3 linked regions of the Arabidopsis thaliana genome follow. The protein of the gene in region 3 interacts with the protein of the main gene of each other region in a pairwise test. Each region holds a gene or a part of one and is shown on either strand. Other genes may lie near its edges.

Region 1 (9,856 bases), 9.4 Mb from region 3:
AGAGTCTCCAATAGCATCTCGAGCTGATGCTATTTTTGCGGCATGTTCTTCTGCTGGTATCACCTGTTTACCACGCATATGACCTACACAAAAACACACACATTGAGATTATGATCTGTCAAGTGTGTCCATTGAGTGACATTAGAACAGTGACTTAGAAAATGAAGATTTCACACATACCACACTTCTTTGGCCATGCTTGGTCCTAACAAGAATGAAGCAATCAAATGTTAAATGAACAATATCCAAAGACTCTTGATCAATTCTAAGACAGAGGAACTCGTCAAAGAAGCAGAGGTGACAAAAAAAGAAGGCAATTTACCTCAAGGAAGCAACCAGCAGCACCAGCTGCAATCAAATCCTTTACGGTTCTTTGAATGTTTAGCGCATTTCCTCCACCGGTATCTTGAAAAGATCAAAAGAAACCTATGAAGAGAACTATAACCAAGCAAATCCACTATTTTCAAAAAGCTATGAAGAGAACTATAAGCAAGCAAGCGACTCTAACCAAGAAAGATTGATACTTTCAATCTTTGGTAAAGAATCAACGACTCAATGTTTTTAAATGTTTTTTTTCCTTTTTTGGTTTTAGTTAAGCTTCTTGCATTCTTTAATGATGTCTTTATTATACTATCAAAATTTTGCAACTTTACCAGCATCTGCAATGATGGGTATATTAGGAGCTGACGCACACACCGACCTTGCCGTCGCAGCCATCTCCGGTGGTCTAAAACGACGAAAGAACACAAATAAAACGAAAGCATACAAACAAAAAATTACTAAAGAAAGAAAAAAAAAAAGGTGGCGCACGTTAGCAAACCGAAATCGGGTTTTCCCAGGAGAGAAGCGGATAAGGCGTAACCGGATATAAAACCAGCGGAGAATCCGGTTTGCTGCACAATAGCCGCGGATAAGGCATCGTAGCATCCAGGCATAAGCACAATGCCTTGTTCTTCAATCAGGCGATGAAAACGTGTTTGGATTCTCGCTGTCGGATTCACCAATCTCGCCGCGCGTGGGTTCCGTCGGAATGTTGGTGAAGCTGTAAGGTTTAAGCTGCTACAACAGAGTGAAGTTGTTTTGACAGCCATTAACATCGACATTCTTCGAAGCCTCGAACAAGTTTTTTCTTCTCTCTAATCGAGTTAGACTCTGACCCACACGCTTGGGATTTTAATAGAGAGCACGTGGTTATTATATCTCGGTCTTATCTTATGGTAACAGTATCTCAAAGACTCAAACCACAAGGTATTGTGAAAATGTTAGAGGCAATCTAACAATAAATGTATAATTTGGTTAGCTTAAGCTCATCATAGAAATGGGCCTTTATGTCACCAAACCTATTTCACAACATAACACAAGAGCCCACAAAACAACGACTCCTTTCTCCACCAGAACAAGCACGACAAAGGCAAGAGAGTTGCAAAAGACCTATAAGATGATAACAATCGAAAAGATGTAAATTTTGAGAAAAATCAAAATAAACAAGAAAGATTTCATTGTTTTTCACTTTTTCTCCATTTCTACTTTGATTTTACATACTCTATGGGCCAACCAATTTCCAACCTAATGCTTGATAAAAAATGATTCGGTTTTACTATCTCAACAAATTGGGCCTACAACATCCAATTTCATGTAGTGACTTGTTTTTGCCTTTTTCACATCTCAACAAATTGGGTCGTTTGTATTTAAGAAATTGTTACAGCTTTTTAGACTGAATTTTACTTTATGGCTTTATGCTCTCTTTTTCCGTTTTGATTAAGGGTGAATATGTAAACTGTTGATACCATCTGATTTTTTTTATTTTTTATTTTTCTTGTGTGCAACTATACCATCTGAATTCAATTGACATTTTAGCCAAATAAAAAAGATTGGTCCACTTGGATGGCTGTAAAAAAGTTTAGTGGAAGTATTTATAGGGCTTGTTGGCAATCTTCACCAACGGCTATAATGTTGATCTTTTTAAAATTAAACTTACCGTTCGACTGTCTTCTCAACGATTTGACAATTAGCCGTTAGATTAGTATTACTGATTTATTATTAACAAACCCATTTCTTTTCTTATTTTTGAATAAGCTAAATCAGGCCAATAAAAGGGACAAGTAGAGATGGGCTATTTCTTTTTTTCTCTTTTTTTTTTTCTTATGTAGTAGAGAAAAGCCTTTATTCTTAGAGCTATCATTTACCACCCATTAACCAGAAGCTGAGAAATGAAGCAAGCCGAAACGAATTTGTAGTTTTGGACGGTGAAATTATATCGGGCCTTTAATGGGCATGTGAATAGAGTTGAGAGTCTTTTTGCCCCAAATAATCGTTTAAGGGAGTATTGGCTCGTTGGTTTAATATTGGGCCGAAACGAGATTGGGAAGAAGAACAATGTCGGTTTAATCCGGTTAGGGTCGTGGGCTGATTCTGGTTCACCTTTATAGCGTAAGCGAACAAACATTGAAAATGGGGAAGCCAAATTAGTTACCATCCCTAACTCAGTTTTGAGACGTAGTATGAATGAGCCACGGCAGAACCTACGACCTAACTCGATAAAGTAATGGTTACTCTTGGAGACGGAAGAAAGCACAAAGATTTTGATAAGGCTTTCTAGTTGGTGAAATGGTCAAAATCGCTCGGAGAGCCATCATAGGAGCGGGGAGGTGCTATCTGAATATCCCAATGCATCAAGACAAGATGGATTCAGAAAACAAAGAAATTAAACAAACATTTTAAAATATGCTCTTAGTTTTAGATAATATAATGTTTTCAATACCAATTATCTTACACTGATAGTGGTCAAGTTACTAATCACTTTTAATAAATTGGTGATAGTCAAACGTATTGAAAATTATCGATTTAAAAATATTTGAATTCAAAACCATTTTAGTGAAAGTTTGCATTGTAGTTTTGATTATCCGATCAATCTTTAATATAATTACGTCAATAATAACTGAAATCCTTGAATTAACCGTTACCCGATTCATAAGCACTACTTTCCGATCAAAACCAATGAGATAAAATAACTTTTAAACCCTCCAAATAAAAAGAGAAAACCTTAAAAACCAATTTCTGTTCGGTGGGGATGATGATCGGACTCGGACCGGTCTAACCGACTGGATTAAAAAGTCTTTAACAACGACAAGCTTAAAAATTTGCCTCTTAGTGGCTTCAAAACGCAATCGTTTCGCTTAATACTATTATTTTCTCTATCTCGTTTAACCAAAAAAAAAAACGAGTTGGAGGAAAAAAAAAACCAAGAAAAAAGAATAAAAAGCAAAAAGCATTGAGCGTCTCCGGAGATTAGGATTAAATTAGGGCATAACCCTTATCGGAGATTTGAAGCCATGGGAAGAAGAAAAATCGAGATCAAGCGAATCGAGAACAAAAGCAGTCGACAAGTCACTTTCTCCAAACGACGCAATGGTCTCATCGACAAAGCTCGACAACTTTCGATTCTCTGTGAATCCTCCGTCGCTGTTGTCGTCGTATCTGCCTCCGGAAAACTCTATGACTCTTCCTCCGGTGACGAGTAAGAAGATACTTTCCTTTTCTGGGTCTCACTCGATTTTTGTGCTTTTTTACTTTGTTTAATTACTTTCTCCATATAGAAGCTTCAAATCTAGGGCTTTTTGATTCCATCAAATCAACTGAGATTTTCTCCTTGTTTTCTGTATGAAGATAGCAGATGCGTAAGCTTTAACCTAATTTAAGACTAAACATTTTGATCGCCAAGATATGTTCTTGATGTTCGTTTCGTGTTTTTTTTTTCGTGTTTTTTTTTTTTTCATTTTAAAATCATTTTTATCTCTTTTTTTACCTTCATTTGTGACGAAATTTAATATTGCATGTTATTCAAGAAACTTTTCTACACGTGGTGATTCGTTCTTGATGTTGTTTAAGTAATCTTTGTATTGCTAGTTCCATCTGTTGTTCACTTTGAAGCTTCGTTTTTTCATATAAGAAACAATATGTTTAGATTGTTCAAATTTTGAGATTTGGTAATTATATTCAATATTGCAATGCACTTCAAGTAGTTTTGTTGAGAGATTATTTGGGGTTAGTGGTAACATTAATCGAATATCTTTGGTTCAAATTGGTTAACACATTGTACTTTATGTTGATCCAAAATGTATTGTAGATCTTTTCTTTTGTAATTCTCTTTAAGGAATAAGGTTTATCTAGTTGATTTTGATGGTTTATTGTAGTGCTGGGATAAGTTTCCACATTGATACTCGCCACACATTCTTCATTACTTAACTAATTGGATATCGATTTTAACCCTTTTAATCGTAATTTGTTGTGTGTTTATGACACCATACAAGATACATTATGTCTTACTGAGTGACTCTTTGTTGCTCTCTAAGATGTTGTAGTTTGGATTTCTTTGCTAAAGAAACTCAAACTATAACTGATTTTACTGCTACCATATATATGTCAGTGGCCTAGTAGGTTCATTAAGTAGAAATCGGTCGCCAATTTTACTAATTGGGAGAAACCACTAGACTACAACCAAATGTTCAATGACTTTAATAGTCTTCTGTTATTTGTCGTGGATATTTTTAACCCCATGAACTTTTGTATCTAGAAAAATCTCATCCACTTCTCTTTTAGAATACTTTGAATGCGACTAAAAGTGAGTTTTTTTTTTCTAATAGACCTAAGATAAAATCATCAATGGATAAGTAGGAAATGGAAAGGTAACTCTTGTCAGTATGTGTATATATACAGCTCCTTCTCATTTCCTTGATGTTGACTCCATAAATGCTTGATCATGAAAGCAAATTTGTTAAATTTGTAACCAACAAAATGCACAGACTATAGACGAAGTATTAGGAACCGTATCTATCTGTCTCCATTTTACAATAGTCAAGCTCTAGTTGTAGCTAGTTTCTTTATTTAGTTCTTATACCTTAACAAAGTGGCACTATGCAAAGTGTTTTTAGTTGAGATTAGTCGTCTTATGCGTCTTACTAATTGTTCATTTTTTCTTCTTTTTGTGATTGATGTAAAATTACTAAGTCACAACTTGAGATGTTACTAAAAAGATAAGAACGTGTAATAACTGAAGTGAATTTGAAGCCAGTCTCTATTCATATCATAGCATTAATAGATCATGGACAACACATATATAGGATTAGAGCTGTCATGACCTTCCCGGAAATGCTAAATCAGTTTCTTGGTTTATCCTTTTTGGAGTATCATGATATCATTTAGCCAAAGGTTTTTGGTTTCAGTATTCCGATTCGTTTGACGTTATGTGTGAAAGCGTCAATAACTAAAACTTGGATTGACTAGTCAAAATATAAACTGATTGCATTGAATTCTTGAAAATTTTCCCTTAAAATGAACATGAATTTCATCAAGATTTTGTCTTTTGGAAGGATGTGATTTATAATCTATACAATCATACATTTTGCATGATATTAGTTTTTTGAAGAACCAAAAATAGAGCTTCTTTATAAAACTGATTTAGCCTTGATAAGAAAAAGAAGGTAGATAATCGAACTCATGGGGATGAGTTAAAAATGTGTGCACTTAGTTTCTAAAACCTTTTGAAGTCGAAACAATGACAATATTGGCTGCGAAGTTGATATATAACAGGATCTTAAAGTTGAAATTGTAAATTCAGATTTTAATTTTAGAGCACCAGATGATCAGAGTTTCAGATTTACATTTGAAGTATAAAACATTTTGAACACATATATCTAAAGCAGTAACTTCAAAAATAGGGTAACTAATAGTAACTTACATTGTTTTTTTTAATGCTTTTATACTTACTATCATTTTTATATATAGATGCCTGGTTAAGTAAAGATGATTATCAAAAACTGTTGGTTAGTAACAGAAATTGTTGCAAATGTAACATATTATATAAGCTTTCTTTCACTTTGGTGCATTCTCTCTAAATAATGGCCTCTATTGATGCAGTATCTGATTCTTAGTTTTGAAATGGTTTTTGCATAAATTATTGTTCTAATGCATTTTTGTTTTATCTCCAGCATTTCCAAGATCATTGATCGTTATGAAATACAACATGCTGATGAACTTAGAGCCTTAGTAAGTAATTAGCTAAGAACGTCATTCTAATATTCTTCTGGATGCGGTTTTTGGTGTTATGAAGGATAGAAGCGCTGTTCAAGCCGGAGAAACCTCAATGTTTTGAACTCGTAACACCGAACTTAATTCTCTAGAGTTACAGTTATTGTGTCTACTGGAAAATACAAGAACTTCACAATCTTTCTGACCATTCCTTTTCTTCATGTGCAGGATCTTGAAGAAAAAATTCAGAATTATCTTCCACACAAGGAGTTACTAGAAACAGTCCAAAGGTTAGCAGTACGACACATTTTTCTCCCCTCTTCTTCTGATAAAAAAAATGTTTTTTTTCTTTTGTCTACTTGTGAATACAGCAAGCTTGAAGAACCAAATGTCGATAATGTAAGTGTAGATTCTCTAATTTCTCTGGAGGAACAACTTGAGACTGCTCTGTCCGTAAGTAGAGCTAGGAAGGTATATGTGCTGCTACTAAGTGATTCAACCAATTACTCCACAAAACCTTCTTTTTAGTTAGTTATCCTAGAACAATCTTTTGACATAAATCTTAATGTCTTGTTATAGGCAGAACTGATGATGGAGTATATCGAGTCCCTTAAAGAAAAGGTTAGTGCTTTGGTTTTTATTTTCGATAAAGGCCATATTCTAGGCTATGATGATTCTTGAATTCTATTAACCTGCTGAGTCTACAGATTACTATATATATATATATATATCTTTTGGTCTTGTCTTAGTTCCTGATTTAGTATTGGCTTCATTCAGGTGAAACCCTAATGAGAATTAAAAAAACAAGCAGTTTTAAACTCTTGATCAAATCCAACCTTTCCCTCATAAAGTGTCGAATTTGGATGAGGATGATTTATGTTTCGAGAAGGAAACATGTTTGGAAATAGCTATAGAAGTTGTTAGAAACTAATGACCTTATGATCTTTTCCAAACAGGAGAAATTGCTGAGAGAAGAGAACCAGGTTCTGGCTAGCCAGGTAACAATGACCACAATATCTTCTGCTCTTGAAGCTAATTAATCACTTTATACGTCCCCGTTATAGAGAGATACACATATACACGTACATGAAAACTAAAAGTTGAAGGACTTTGATGGATACTAGACAATTATAGTGAAACCCTAAATATGTGATAAGTGATAACAAAATGCTTTTAAAATCTATCTTTCTTGTTAATTTAGTAGCTGTCAGAGAAGAAAGGTATGTCTCACCGATGAAAGATACTCAAAACCCGGTATTTTTAATTTGTGAAATTTGCAAATAAAAAAAATGCTTTCTACAAGATAGATTAATTTCTTGCAATGTTTAGTAGCTGTAGAAAAAAAAGAAATGTAAGAAAGTTTCTTACAGATGGGAAAGAATACGTTGCTGGCAACAGATGATGAGAGAGGAATGTTTCCGGGAAGTAGCTCCGGCAACAAAATACCGGAGACTCTCCCGCTGCTCAATTAGCCACCATCATCAACGGCTGAGTTTTCACCTTAAACTCAAAGCCTGATTCATAATTAAGAGAATAAATTTGTATATTATAAAAAGCTGTGTAATCTCAAACCTTTTATCTTCCTCTAGTGTGGAATTTAAGGTCAAAAAGAAAACGAGAAAGTATGGATCAGTGTTGTACCTCCTTCGGAGACAAGATCAGAGTTTGTGTGTTTGTGTCTGAATGTACGGATTGGATTTTTAAAGTTGTGCTTTCTTTCTTCAGCGTGAAGAACCCTAGACCTTCTTATTTCTTTTTTTTTTTACTTTTTTTTTTTATAACTTTAATTATTTGATTATTTGTCTTACATTACGTGGCAAAGTTATTTAGTTGCATCTCTTTTAATTTGATCAAAACCATATCAGATATTTTGCTCTTTTTTCCAAGTTTAGTGATTCTGTTTTTGAGAGCTCCAAACTATATAAGATATTTTTCACCTTTTCCAAGTTTTATTATTTGTGTTTTTGAAGAACTCAAAAAAGCCAGCTTTTGAACTCTGTTTCATGTTTTGGTTCTTTCTGATGAATCCAGATCCATACAACCGTATGCCAAACTCACTGCTCGTATGTTGTTTAGTATAATATTACAGGATTCTCAACTTTTTACAAATACACATTTATGTACCGCTCTTTGTGTTCTTAGTCTTGAGAAACACTTGAGTAACTTGTTGAAGATCTGATATATCCAAAAAAGTTCTAAAGTCTAAACAATGCGGAATGAACTAGCTATCCTCTTCAGATCCTTGTAGTGTCTCTTCCATTGAAGACCTATAGAATCAAACATAAGCAGAGCAATTAACTATGTGTACAAACCAAACAAAAGGTGTTTGCTCTGTCTTTAAATCTCTGACTAGAAGAGAGGTTTTGCCTTACCGTTTCCGGTGACACTGAACAAGTAAAGGCGGTTTCCGGCAGCTGTTGCAGTTATCAGTACATGAGGCGGCTCTAGCTCGAATTGGTAATAGAGTCTACCATCGTGTTCTGCAACATTGGAACTTAACACCTTCCCTTCTACGTTTTCTCCAATAACTTCTGGTCCAAACGCGTTAATCACCTTCGCTGGTTGTCCAATATTTTCAATCTTAACATCGTCCCCGAGGTCTGTATAAGTGGAACACACAAATCAATCAATCTACGAGTACAAATAGACAAGATTGCATTGCCTATATAACTCAAAAGAGTAAAGTTGATGAATCTTTAATAGCAGAGACAACTTACTATCTGCAAATCTAAGAACAGGAGCTACAATAACAGACAAACGGCCTTCTTTAGGACTAGCAAATCTCAAGTCAATCTCGGTGCCACCAAGATCAGCGATCGATACAGGTACCTAAATTTGATACAACAATGAAAAGAATCTCAAAGTATGACTAAAAACCATAGAAACGAAGAAACAAGAGCCAAGGGACAAAACCTCATTCCAATCTTGAGGAACCGAAAAGGCGTAAGGGATAATAGGACTCCAACCAACACCATGCCCTCCTGACTTCTCGTCTGGTCTACGGTATGTTCTCCAACCTGTCTGAGCATTACAATTACATTACACCAACAAATTCCCAACTACTATACTGTCATAATACAACTCCAAGAATCAATGTCCAAAGCCTAAAGATTTATGAATCTATGATCCAATAGTAACATTCTCAAGAAGAAGAAAGAGTGTACGAATAAAGCTACAGAGTAAGAGCAAGACAAGAAGAAGAGGAATCAAGAACAGAGTGAAACGAACCTTCTTCATCAGGTTCGGACAGACCAGGAACTCTCCCAGCGAGAAGACCTTGTTTAACGACAGCCAATCCTTCCCTTGGAAATGCTAAAGCCGTCGTCGAGGAGACCAACCCTGACGCCATTACCGATCTTCTACTCAAAACCCTAGCACACCACTCGTCTTCGCATCCTCCCGGACTCGTTTTCGGAATCTCACTATTACTTCTTTGATGAGCAGAGATTTTCTTGTGACCGGAAAAGTTGACGCAGTACCGGAGCAGAGCTGTTTCCATCATTCTCCGGCGAAGTTCGAGAATTGTGATGTGTTTGTTTGTTGATCAACAGATTCGTGGCTCTCACCTCTTTTGTGATGGATACTAACCATTTTGCTAGCCTCACACGTGTCAATGTCACTTACTGTAAATAAATCACATAATAAGTTCGATAGAGTTGATTGACAAAAAAAAAAAAAAAAAAAAAAAGTTCGATAGAGTTTTCAGTTTTGATTATATTATTGGTTAATGCTGATTAATTCAAAAGTAGAGTTTTGGTTAATATAAATCTAAAATAATCTTAAAAAATGCATATTGAATTTTTTTCTGTCATTATAAGAATGCATATTG
Region 2 (6,746 bases), on a different chromosome or scaffold from region 3:
GAGGAGTTGGACGAGCTGACTAGCTGACAGCTAGGCGGCGAGGACATGGTCGCTGTGATGGGAAGAGCTTGAAGACGAGCTGAGGAGCTTGAGGACGAGCCGAGGAGTTTGAAGAGCTGAAGAGCTTGACGAAGAGGAGCGAGCTGATGAACTACTTGAGAAGGGCCCAATCCGACCCCTAACAAAGACTTATGTTTAGATATGTTTTCATGCGATCCAAACTATACTATATATTTTTTTGGACGGATTTTTTAATAAGTTTTATGGAGTTCACAGACGAGTTTGAACGAAGCGTTTTCTTTATATATGTGCTATGCGAAATAAAAACTTGAAGACAAATTTAAATAATAATGTGATGTAGTAGGGCAATTGCATAATCGATAAATCCGGATAAGTGTGCCCCGATACAACAAAAGCAACAACGTTTACGAAAATTTAACAAGTCCAAAAGTAACAGACATGATAATAATATCCTCATTACAAAACTCAACACACGATCAAAATAAGTGAAACATAACATAAACCATAAACCCTCAAGTTTCAATACGTATCAGGAGATTTAATGGGGGGGGGGGTTAAAATCATATACTCCTCCTTGCCGAACTATTAGGGGTCGGATTGGGCCTACTTGGCCCAATGCCCAAACCCAAGTCAAAAGCCCAAAATAAGTTCCAAACCAAGGAGGAGTATTAAGGCGAAGGGTAGTTTCGTCAAATCCCTCGATGAATGCCCTACACGCGTAGTGCTATAAATACGGAATAGCATGTCATGTCGAAGGGGGGAATTCCGCCTGACACGCAGACACAGAGTAGCTCGCCTTTCTCAAGTAGCTCGTCAGCGAGCCCTTCTCAAGAAGCTCGTTAGCTCGCTCCTCTTCGACAAGCTTATCAACTCGTTCTCTTCACCAAGTCCCTCAGCTCGTCTTCAAGCTCTCCAACTCGTCTTTAAGCTCTTCAAACTCTTCAGATCGCCATTAAGCTCAACAAGCTGCTAAGCTCGTCTTCAAGCTCCTCAACTCGTCTTCAAGCTTCTCAGCTCGTCTTCATGCTCCACTCAACGACCATCTCCTCGTCTAGCTGTCATCTATACAGCTCGTCCAACTCCTCGTCTAGCTATCAGCTCATCCCTCGAAAACAAAACTCATCTACCTCCTCGCCTAGCGGCAGTTCGTCCATTGACTGCATAGTCCACCTATCTCGTCGTCCAGCTCGTCTAGACCTTCAGCAAACAACTCGGTTTATCCAACTCGTCTCTCTACCACGGTTCATCCAGCTTGTCGCACATCTGCCGGCTCGTCAACTACCTGCCGACCTACCTCCAATGACGGCCTAGCTCACTTATTCTAATATGAACTACGTGTGGCTTGACCCCTTTCTAATATGGACTACGTGTCGTCTCGCTTGACTATCACCGAGACAGCACATTGTCAGCTCGCCCGTCTCACGAAGATCGTCCGTCTCAAATAGCTCGTCAGCTCGTCCTTCTCAAGTAGCTCGTCAGCGAGCCCTTCTCAAGAAGCTCGTTAGCTCGCTCCTCTTCGTCAAGCTTATCAACTCGTTCTCTTCACCAAGTCCCCCAGCTCGTCTTCAAGCTCTCCAACTCGTCTTCAAGCTCTTCAGCTCGCCTTAAGCTCTTCAGCTCGCCTTTAAGCTCTTCAAACTCTTTAGCTCGCCCTTCTTACAAAAACAAAAAAGGATATCAATTATGTAGATCAAAACAAAAACAAAAAAGGACTTACAAGGACGTAGATATCAATTATGTAGATCAAAGAATAAGCAGTCCAAATTCCAGCGTTGATGAAACGAACTAACGATAGCCAAAACGGCATGTACTTGAAGGTCTTAGTCTCCGGCGGCATTTTGTCCTAATTGTTTCACGCATTAAAAACTTATCAAAACCAGTTTAATAGTTTACTTATCTATATATTCATCAATAAGTGAGAGCCAGAGAGAGAGAGAGAGCTTACTATGGTAAATAAAAGATAGATGATAACAATGTTGTAAACGTTGCAAACAACACCAATGAATGTATGCTTGCCGGCCGGATAAACTCCCAAATCCCCAGATAGTCATACAATAGACTGTTGCCACAAAACTAAACTCCAACGGAAGCAATAGATAAAAGAGTAATATCTGCACATCAACATCGACATCATCAAAATCAATATACAATATTTTTCTGGATTTGTTTTTTTTTTCTTTGGGATATTTCTATAGAATTTAGTCAAGATTGTGTTTGTTTGTTACCACCTTTTGTGCACCAGTCACCAATCCTTATTTTTATTATTAAATCTATTTTTGATACTATAATTCGTGATTTTCCTTTTAGTTTTATATATATATATACTTACAGAGATGCGAGCTTCATATTATTATTTTTATCTTTTTGAACACCAAAAAAATAGCCTCGTATTATTTTTAAATGATCAATTATGTGATCATATTTAAAAATACGATCCGGTTTTTAAGGGATTTGAACGGATCAAATGTGTTTCCGGTTCGGTTATATAAACCGGTATTTTACCATATCCAACCGAAATGAGTATCGACGGGAATTATCCGTAAACAGAGTGACAGTGAGGTGTGAAGGAAGAAGACGATGGCGTCAATGTCTCTCTCCTTTTCTTCTTCGCTATGTTCATCCAGAATCCCCGAAGGTAAGCGTAGGTTTCGTCACAGAGATGTGGGCATCGTTAGATGCGTTTTGGCTGCTTCGAAATCTTCTCCGGGAAGTGTTACGAAGAAGAGGCTTTGGAAAGACGGCGAATTCCCCGGAATCACGGAGCCGGTTAATCAGAGAAGAACTCCGATAAAGAATGTGAAGAAGAAACTTGACAGGAGAAGCAAAGCTAACGGATGGGTTAACACCGTCACTGAAACTTTGTCCGATCTCATCGCCAAAAAGCAGTGGTTACAAGCTCTCGAGGTATTTCGATTTTCTCTCTTCTCGTTCATGTTTGATTGAATTTGAACTCAATTTTGAATCACGAGTATAATTTAGCTGAAAGATGATTTTGATTGAATTGGGTATTTTGTTGATGATCTTAGGTTTTTGATATGTTGAGGGAACAAACATTTTATCAACCAAAGGAAGGAACTTACATGAAGCTGCTTGTTCTTCTCGGTAAATCTGGTCAACCCAATCGTGCACAGAAGCTGTTCGACGAAATGCTTGAAGAAGGACTTGAACCAACTGTTGAACTCTACACTGCTCTTCTCGCTGCTTACACTCGCAGCAATCTCATCGACGATGCTTTTTCAATTCTTGATAAAATGAAAAGCTTTCCTCAATGCCAACCTGATGTTTTCACGTACAGCACTCTGCTCAAGGCTTGTGTGGATGCTTCTCAGTTTGACTTGGTGGATTCGTTATACAAGGAAATGGACGAGCGTTTGATAACTCCAAACACTGTGACCCAGAACATAGTTTTAAGTGGGTACGGTAGGGTCGGAAGGTTTGATCAGATGGAGAAAGTTTTGTCTGATATGTTGGTGAGTACTGCTTGCAAACCCGATGTGTGGACTATGAATATCATCCTTAGTGTGTTTGGAAACATGGGTAAGATAGACATGATGGAGAGCTGGTACGAAAAGTTCAGGAACTTTGGGATTGAGCCAGAGACTCGGACTTTCAATATTTTGATTGGTTCTTATGGGAAGAAGAGAATGTATGATAAGATGTCGTCTGTCATGGAATACATGCGAAAGCTAGAGTTTCCGTGGACAACATCAACCTACAACAATATCATCGAGGCGTTTGCGGATGTTGGTGATGCAAAGAACATGGAGTTGACATTTGATCAGATGCGTAGCGAAGGTATGAAAGCAGACACAAAGACCTTTTGCTGTCTCATAAACGGATATGCCAATGCCGGTCTTTTCCACAAGGTGATAAGTAGTGTTCAGTTGGCTGCTAAGTTTGAGATACCCGAGAATACTGCCTTTTACAACGCGGTGATATCAGCGTGTGCTAAAGCAGATGATCTGATAGAGATGGAAAGAGTGTACATAAGAATGAAGGAGAGACAATGCGTATGCGATTCAAGAACGTTTGAGATCATGGTCGAGGCGTATGAAAAAGAAGGTATGAATGATAAGATCTATTACTTGGAACAAGAGAGGCAAAAGCTTATGGATCGCACTGTTGCTACAAAAGAGATGGAGAATCTTCCGGCAGGATGATTGCGGTTTGTGTGTGAATCTCTCTCTCTCTCTCTCTGCAAGGAGAGATCGATGTCTCACTTGAAAGAGTAGAATAAAAGAGTTTGTAATACACTTGATTGTTCTTGCAGCTATGCGTGTTATATATTTTGATGGGCCCAAAATTATGAATAGAGGCCCATAGATAAACTGTGACGTGCACAAGAAATCGGACAAGTCCAAAAAGTGGATAAGTGCGTGTCGTCTTTCTATAAATAATCTCTTTTCTCTCATCTTTTACCGTTTCTTCTCGAACAATCAAAAACGAACTAACCAAACATAAAATTGAACACATCCTCTTCCTCTGCTCTCTGCAAACAAAAAAACACCGATTCGGTCAGGAATCATTCGTCGTGAAATCTGTAATGGGGATTGTTGTCAAGTCTTTCAAGGATCAATTCTCCTCTGGTTTGTTCTTCGTTAATCTCTTTCTGATTCTTTGGAATTTTTTTTCCTTCGAAATGTGCTTCTGAAGCAAAGTTTTCATCTTTGTTTGAGGATATAGATGAGAGATTGAAGGAGTCGAACAACATCATTGCGAAATATCCAGATAGAATACCTGTAAGTTATTTCATAAATTTCATGTTTGATTTGTTTCTTGGTGTTTCCGTCTTAGTTGCCGTGCGATTGTGGATTTCCTTAGGGTTCGAATGATTTACTCAATTAAAAAAAAGTCTTCGTTTGACTTGCATCTCTCGAATTTGCTAGAATCTCTGTTTCAATCTTAGAATTTCTTCGCCATGGTTTGATGGATACGATCTGGGATCTGAAATTTGACTGATTTTGTGCGGTTTGGTGTTGATCCAATCACTCTGGTCAATGTCGGAGACGACTTCTTTAGTTGAGATTTGATCTATCACCAACAACAACCCAAACCAATTTGATTTAGGGATTTGGATCTGTTCTTGGTTTGGTTTCTTCATCAGATTCCAGCATTTATGGATGGGTTTTATTTACTTATGTAGGTGATCATTGAGAAATATTCAAACGCAGATCTGCCAGACATGGAGAAGAACAAGTGAGTTGTGACATCAATTTAGCTGTTGGACCAAACCAAGTGTAACCTGTCTAACTGTGAATAATCTTGTTTTTAACTCTGTATCCCGCATTTGTTTATTGTAGATACTTGGTCCCACGAGACATGACTGTTGGACATTTCATCCATATGCTAAGCAAAAGGATGCAGTTAGATCCATCCAAAGCTCTCTTTGTTTTCGTACACAACACTCTTCCTCAAACCGGTAAGATAAGAAGTATCATCATCCATGTAGAGTGAGACTTTACCTGCAGTTTTCCAAAGCTTTCCATTAACACTTGTCTTGAATTATGCAGCTAGTCGCATGGACTCTCTCTACAATACTTTCAAGGAAGAAGACGGGTTCTTGTACATGTGCTACAGCACCGAGAAAACTTTCGGCTAACAAAAGATTTGTCGCTTCATATCGAAATCGAAGCGCACTCTGAATAATCCATTTGTTTGATTCCTATGTTTGTGAATAACGTCAGCTCTTGTTGTTACTGTTATTGTTGTTGTTAGCTGACATTGTACAGAAAAGCTAAAAAAAAGAAAGACATTTGACTTTGTAAATTATGTATAATCCAACTATGGCAATAATAATAAGACCAAGTGATGATGATTCACACGAAACTCTTTTTGCGTTTTGTTCTTCCCTATAAAAAAAGAAAAGAATATAGATACTTTCGTGGAAGCACGTAAGTTTGGGGAGATGTGGTAAAATGAGACCTAAAGAAATTGCAATGTCGGTGCGGCGGTAAACGTGTACCCTACGACTTGGATTGTGTGTTTTATGCGATAAGGTTTTTAAGAAAACCGCAATTTTTAGAATATTGTTTATGTATATCCATCCATCATATGGTTAATCTTCTCTACAAGTTTATTTTGCCTCTTTTGTTTATACACATTTTATGTTCCGATTACATATTTTATTCCTTCTTAATCATCACTTCTAACATGAGGATTTAAAACTTTTCTGTTTCCAACGAGTTTATAACTACTTAATTAATGCCTCTATTTTAGTTCAATAGTGATTAATGACGCGTTGGCACCATCTCAAACTAAACTCAATATTTCGGAGCAAATAAAACAAAATTTCACAAGGAGACCAATAATTGATCGAGTATATTCTTGGGGGGATGTTACGATGCCATCCATGTCCAAAACTATTTGGATCAAAGCTTCTTTTTGGAATTTTTGTGCTCTTTCATTTCATTTGTATATAGATTCGGTTATTCCTTGACAAAAAAAAAGATGGTTATTCCTAATTAACTGCCACATTCTTATTTATAAATATCAATGTCGGTTACAAACACGATATAATGTAATAAAATAGTTGATCCAGGACGTAATAATTGTGCTCCCAGTGTGTTAGTTAGACTTGTTATTTTTATTTGCTATAAAAAGGATTAGATTAAGAAAGGATAACCGACAATTTAATTTTAAACAGAATTTTAGACAAACAATGTATAGTCGTAATCTGCGGTGGTTTTATTGTTTAAGATGATTTGTTATGTGGATCGAAACCAAGA
Region 3 (6,282 bases):
ACCGGAACAAACCATAATGGGTCACTGTGTAGTCTGTAAACGAAACAAACCGGCGGTCCAAATTGCTAACCGCCAAAACCACGTGACGGTCCAATCGAAAATTATACGTTTCTTGTCTAATATTTTGACTAAATTATTGTAATTAACTATGCTAAATTTCAAAACTAATCGGCTTCATATTCATATATCACTGATTTTTTTAAGTTATGTATACCAAACTAAATAAAAATCGTTCACAGTGTTTTGGAAGTAATTTGGACAATCTTGTTCGAAACTTATTGACACAATCGGGAGAAATAATGTATTACTAATTAGCTATTTCTTTTTTTCTCACCAGAAGCTTACCTACTAACCGTAACCTAACTTACAATTAGTTTTTGAAGTATTTAATTTGGTTAAATGTAAAGGAGAATAAAACAAAAACACTGAGAGGGCACTTAAAAGCCAACAACGGTCCAAAGATGGATAAGGTCGGTCCAAAAGCTAATAATTCGACAATACTCTGGACACATGGGCTTTTTTGGTCGTAACCGGTCCCATTTCTGTTCTTAGAGAAAATCAGAAACGGTTTTTAAATAACAAAGTAGATTGTAGTTGCAAACCGAAAGCATGGTTCGTGCCTTTGCACTATTATTTTCATTTCATCCCTTTAATTAATAGCTTGTCATCAAAATGAAAGGCAAAACTTTTACTAATTTGTGTTATTTGTGAGCGTACAAATAGAGGATCCAAACCGGTTATATCTATATTTCAGTTCTGATAAATAAGATGAAAGAATAACTTTTCAATCGGCATGGAGGAATCTTTTGATCGCTTTGGAAGCAATCTTGATAGTTGGCGTTTTTGTTGTGACGGCTTGTTTATGGAAATGGGCTTTGACATGCGGGGTAATTGTAGTTGCTTGACACATAGCCTACTTGATTATGATTTTTGAATTTGTCATTCGTGGTCAGAGTCGGTCCAAAGACTAATCATGTTTAAAGCTCAACAAAATTTGATGTCCATTTACAACAAATAAAAATAGAAAATTGTTTTAATATTTTCGATTACCAAGGATCGAACCAATCACTTTCTACCTTCAAAGCACAGAAAACCAATAGATTATAAGACGTTTCATAAAATTTGATGTCTTTTAAAATATATATAAAATTTGCTGTCTAAAGCATCTATTTGCTGTTTACAAAAAAAAAAAAAAAAGCATCTATTTGCTGGGTTTTATGTTCCGGCCGGCCTTCAAGACACCGCAAGCTTGTGGATAGCGATGGTTTTCATCATCATGCTGTGGTTTATATTCATCTCAAAGTAGGCTTTGACATGCGGGGTAATTGTAGTTGCTTGACACATAGCCTACTTGATTATGATTTTTGAATTTGTCATTCGTGGTCAGAGTCGGTCCAAAGACTAATCATGTTTAAAGCTCAACAAAATTTGATGTCCATTTACAACAAATAAAAATAGAAAACTGTTTTAATATTTTCGATTACCAAGGATCGAACCAATCACTTTCTACCTTCAAAGCACAGAAAACCAATAGATTATAAGACGTTCCATAAAATTTGATGTCCTTTAAAATACATATAAAATTTGCTGTCTAAAGCATCTATTTGCTGTTTACAAAAAAAAAAAAAAAAAAAAGCATCTATTCGCTGGGTTTTATGTTCCGGCCGGCCTTCAAGACACCGCAAGCTTGTGGATGGCGATGGTTTTCATCATCATGCTGTGGTTTATATTCATCTCAAAGTAGGCTGCAAAAGAGCGGGAGAACGGTCTATTCCACTCCAAACTTAGTTACTTTATCGTATCCATACATAGAACTTTGAAGTATGCTTTTAACTATATGAACTAACTTATAATTTGAATTTACTACATAAACAATCAAAATATGGCTGAAACCAACAAATCAATAGATGCCGTTAGTTAAACCGTTAATGTAGCTGACTAGGATGCCACATGGATAGACTTTACAAAAACGAATCTAAACAACTTAAAAGACGTCGTATCTGTGACATCTACTGTCTCTTGAACTATTGTGTTCAAGGGACAGTAGATGTCACAGGTTCGATATGTTTAGATTCGTTTAGATTCAGTTTACTTCTAAGAAAAATATAATATTTTTTTTTAAAAACATATATTTCATCAAGCAAACCTGAAATAGCCAAAAAGATTTTTTTTTAAAAAGCCAAAATAAAAAAGGAAGAAAAAGGGTTCCATAACAAGAAAAGAGAAGAAAATTAAAAGGCTAGTGACTAAAGATACATTTTCATAATAAAAGAATAAAAGAATTTAAAAAATGTATATGAGCAAATCATAAGCAAAATATAAGTATTAAACAATATCAAATAGGTTTAAATTAATTTTATTACACAGAATAAAATAATTAGTAATCATCAATAATACTAAAAACATATAGTAGTACAAATAAAAACATAGTAGTACAAACTCACGGAGGAAACGGGTGTCTAACGTAATTAATTTTTCGATTCAAACCAATGATTCATCGCCTAAGATTTTTGTGCCGGTCTAGCGACACAACCCACATATTTTTTTCAAAGTTGATTTATAAAGTTCTATGAGTTGTAAAACATTATTACCTTAGCAAAGAGAGACCTGCGGAAGAATCTGGATGTTGTACAAATATTCAAATTTCCTATATTACCACCTCGTTTACAATTTATTAATGGTTATGATATATATGTTTGTGACTCAGTTGCTTGTTAAGTATGAACCGTCAATAATTAAAAAGTCATTTTAGTAGAAAAACAAAAAAAATGTATAATTGTATAACAAGTTAGCAACCCACATATGTTGCAGAGTTGATTTATAAAAAAAGATTGGGGACAGAGTTACCATTAGAAGTTTGGATCGAAACAATTGTTTTTTTTTGTTTTTGATAAAATATTGATCGACACAATTGTTTGACATTCATTTAATGTTCTTAACACAAAACCAAAATCCATATGACTATATTTATATTAATTATGTTGTTAGTTTTGTTGAAATAAGTTATCCAAAAACAAATTTCAAGAATAATTTGAAAGATTTTGGGTCTTTCTACTTTCTAGGAATTGCAAGGTCAAGGCGGTTGGTCTTGTGTCATGATTTTCTTCGTTTTAACTATTCAAAGAAAACAAATATTGATAATAAAATAACCTTGTTGTGATTATCTAGAAAAAGGGCTGTAGAAGAAACAAGAAGCATCTCTGTTTTATGTTCCCAAATGAACCAGAAACTCTTAGAAACTTCTAACACCTCTTAGAAACCAACCTTTTAGCATAAACCCTAATCCCATCTTTATAAACCAAACACTTCTTGCCTTTTTCTTGCAAACTCACAAAAAAGAAGACAAGAAGACAAAAATTAAGAAATTTACCGATTTGAAAACAATGGCTCTAGCTCGTCTGGCTTTGAGAAACCTTCAACAAAAACTGTCTCCTAGTTTGATGGGTCAATCTTGTGAAAGAGGTTTGGTCGGAAATCGACATAATCCAATGAAGCTAAACAGATTCATGGCTACTTCGGCTGGTGAACAAGAGGATAAGATGAACACAGAAGTGAGTGTGTCTGAGAAGAAATCTCCTCGACAGAATTTCCCCCGGAGACGTGGCCGAAAAAGCCTCTGGCGTAACACCGACGATCATGGCTACTTCACTCCCACCCTAAATGGTACGTTTGTCATTTTAGTTCATTATTGATATACCTATTTAGCAGAAAATTTCAATAGTGTCACAATAATAATATTTTCGAAATAAATTATATAAAAAAAATTCAACATTTAAGTGTAAAATATATCCCATAAAAGAAAAATTAAGAAGAAAATTTGAAATTCTAGAATCATAAAAATACATCAAATTTTAAATTTACATTTTCATTGCATTAAATCTCATGAAACATAATTAATGTAAACCTCTATTTTTGCTTGAATTGAATTTTTTCTTCTTCTTAAAACAGAGTTCTTTCCTCCGACTATAGGAAATACTCTGATACAAGCAACAGAGAATATGAACAGAATTTTCGACAACTTCAACGTGAATCCATTCCAACTAATGGGTCAAGTGAAAGAGCAAGACGACTGTTACAAGCTCAGATACGAGGTTCCAGGGCTAACCAAAGAAGACGTGAAGATCACGGTAAATGATGGAATCTTGACGATTAAAGGAGATCACAAGGCGGAGGAAGAGAAAGGCTCACCTGAGGAAGACGAGTACTGGTCTTCAAAGAGTTATGGTTACTACAACACGAGCTTATCGTTGCCTGATGATGCTAAGGTTGAGGACATTAAGGCGGAGCTCAAGAATGGTGTGCTTAATCTTGTGATTCCTAGGACGGAGAAGCCAAAGAAGAATGTTCAGGAGATTTCTGTTGAGTAGAAGAGATACGGTGTCGTTTTTGTGTTCTTTGATGGACTAAGCAAATTAATGTTGTACCTTTTTTATGTTTATGCGAATGGAATCAGTTATTAAGTTGCTAATTAACTTAGTTCATTTGCGCAAACAAAAGAAGCTAGAAAATACATTATAGACTAATTGAACAAGCAAAGAATGAACCAGTTTTGTGTTTGTAATGAGAATGGAATAAATTGTTATTCAGCATAGTTAATTTTCGCAAAAGAAAGAAGCCAAAATTAATTAAAAGAAGCAGCAAATGTTGTGTCCCTTTTATGTTTTCTATGCGAATGGCTCAATGGAGTAAATTGCTAATTCACGTCATGAACACAAAAATGTTGATATATTAAACAAGAAGTCCATTTTTGTACCTCATATCAAAATTTTATTTGTAAATTTTGTATTAATAATTGTGGATTTGCTATACTATACTATGAAATATTTTTCTTTATAGACAAGTTATGTTATACATTAAATTATTTATTTATTAATAAGTACAGTATTTTAGTGTATTGTCAGAGTTCAGTTTCTTTAAAGAAAACACAATATTTTTTTTTTTTGTCGTCAAGAAAACACAATATTTATGTTAAACAAAAATGCATGATATTTCAATAGTTTGTGGAAAATTATAGAAAATATTTCATTTTCCTTCTTTTAGTTTGGTATTAAGAAGGAAAAAACCAAAAACATTTTTTTGATAATGTATACATAAATTAAAATTAAAATAATGAGAAAACAAAACAAGGTCCAAAATACCTTGTGAAGAAAATGGCGACGGCGTTTGCCAACACGACTTCAAGCTCCAACCTTTACCTCCATCGCTGCCGTAAAAACCATCCTCTTCCATCTCCGTCGTTCTTTTCACCGTTCCGGTCGTCTCCACTTCCTTCTCAGACCCTTTTCCTCGTCCCCACTCCAAAACCTGTACGACGCATCGCGGTCGCTCCTCTCGGCCCTCCAACGCCGCCTAGTCCCGACCCACCTCCGCCTAAAAACACGACTGAGCTCACAAGTTCGTCTTTCCCTTCTTACCCTTAAAACTTCAATGTTTCAACTCTGAGTTCTGATTTTGTTTACTGCCAATTCTATTTTTCAATCTTTCCTAATTCGATGAAATTGCATTACGGAATTCGAATTAGGAGAATGAAGGTGGTTTAACTGCTATTGATTCGTAGATAAAGATGTTAATCTTAGTCCTCAAGATCGATTACTGTTCATTGCTAAAGTTTTGATCTTTGTGACAATTTATAGACTTTTACTCTTGTTAAGCATTAAGGATTTATAAATCTCCTCCTTTTACAACTTGTGAATGTCTTCCAAAAGTTCCACCATTTTCTTTTCCCTACAGGTTTAGTCATTGGTTGCAATACGAGAGCAATCTTCTTAACAATTTGGATTCATAGTTGTTGTTTGGTATCACATTTTGTGTAGGTCTTGTGGGAGTAGCGTCGATGATTCAAGACCGTGTAAAGATCTTTCTTTCAGTACTAATTTGGATCTCTCTCTTCTTTTGGGCTTCGGCTTTACAAGGAAGAGGCAGCAAAGGTAATGGTAAAGGGAAGAAGGGTTCACGCTTCAAATAGTATTAGTTAGATTGGTGTGGTGATGATGATGATGATTGATGAAAACTCCTCTACACGTTTGTGTATATATACAGAGGAAATATTCTTCCAAGTAAAGCAAATTTCTTGTCAGACTACAGTTTTATACTAGAAACTAGATTGTTCTCTTCTTACGATATCTCTAGCTTAGAGCTATAGAGATTACTCTACTGTGATGAAACTAAAGTAGTTTGCATTTAAGTCAAAATGCCAAATCAATATCATTGTTTATTGAAAGCTGTTTCAGATTGTAAATGACTAGATGTGTTTGGTGTGTGCTTGATTCAGCCAAACGGTAA

Evidence for each region.
Region 1: the proteins of AT1G52560 (region 3) and MAF1 interact in a two-hybrid assay, tested with the Arabidopsis thaliana proteins (one large-scale study listed by BioGRID).
Region 2: the proteins of AT1G52560 (region 3) and PPR2 interact in a two-hybrid assay, tested with the Arabidopsis thaliana proteins (one large-scale study listed by BioGRID).

What each region holds. Positions count from the first base shown.
Region 1 is NC_003070.9:28,952,347-28,962,202, forward strand, and holds MAF1 (K-box region and MADS-box transcription factor family protein), read left to right. Parts: upstream 1-3,175; 5' UTR 3,176-3,332; coding exon 3,333-3,517; exon of another isoform or gene 3,518-5,964; coding exon of another isoform or gene 5,965-5,987; coding exon 5,988-6,045; intron 6,046-6,109; coding exon of another isoform or gene 6,110-6,155; intron 6,156-6,255; coding exon 6,256-6,498; intron 6,499-6,606; coding exon 6,607-6,648; coding exon of another isoform or gene 6,649-6,708; exon of another isoform or gene 6,709-6,804; coding exon of another isoform or gene 6,805-6,816; exon of another isoform or gene 6,817-6,983; coding exon 6,984-7,025; coding exon of another isoform or gene 7,026-7,067; exon of another isoform or gene 7,068-7,231; coding exon of another isoform or gene 7,232-7,264; exon of another isoform or gene 7,265-7,397; coding exon 7,398-7,499; 3' UTR 7,500-7,765; downstream 7,766-9,856. Other genes in the region: AT1G77060 (Phosphoenolpyruvate carboxylase family protein), read right to left, coding at 1-83, 181-205, 323-405, 654-727, 811-1,103; AT1G77090 (thylakoid lumenal protein (Mog1/PsbP/DUF1795-like photosystem II reaction center PsbP family protein)), read right to left, coding at 8,230-8,294, 8,400-8,627, 8,745-8,856, 8,941-9,044, 9,256-9,529. UniProt on the Arabidopsis thaliana protein: Probable transcription factor involved in the negative regulation of flowering time in both long and short days, probably through the photoperiodic and vernalization pathways. Prevents premature flowering.
Region 2 is NC_003074.8:1,954,093-1,960,838, reverse strand, and holds PPR2 (Tetratricopeptide repeat (TPR)-like superfamily protein), read left to right. Parts: upstream 1-2,534; 5' UTR 2,535-2,598; coding exon 2,599-2,925; intron 2,926-3,047; coding exon 3,048-4,181; 3' UTR 4,182-4,430; downstream 4,431-6,746. Other genes in the region: ATG8H (Ubiquitin-like superfamily protein), read left to right, coding at 4,565-4,607, 4,705-4,760, 5,165-5,217, 5,322-5,440, 5,532-5,620.
Region 3 is NC_003070.9:19,572,868-19,579,149, reverse strand, and holds AT1G52560 (HSP20-like chaperones superfamily protein), read left to right. Parts: upstream 1-3,283; 5' UTR 3,284-3,383; coding exon 3,384-3,663; intron 3,664-3,948; coding exon 3,949-4,367; 3' UTR 4,368-4,612; downstream 4,613-6,282. Other genes in the region: AT1G52550 (uncharacterized protein), read left to right, coding at 5,151-5,394, 5,814-5,965.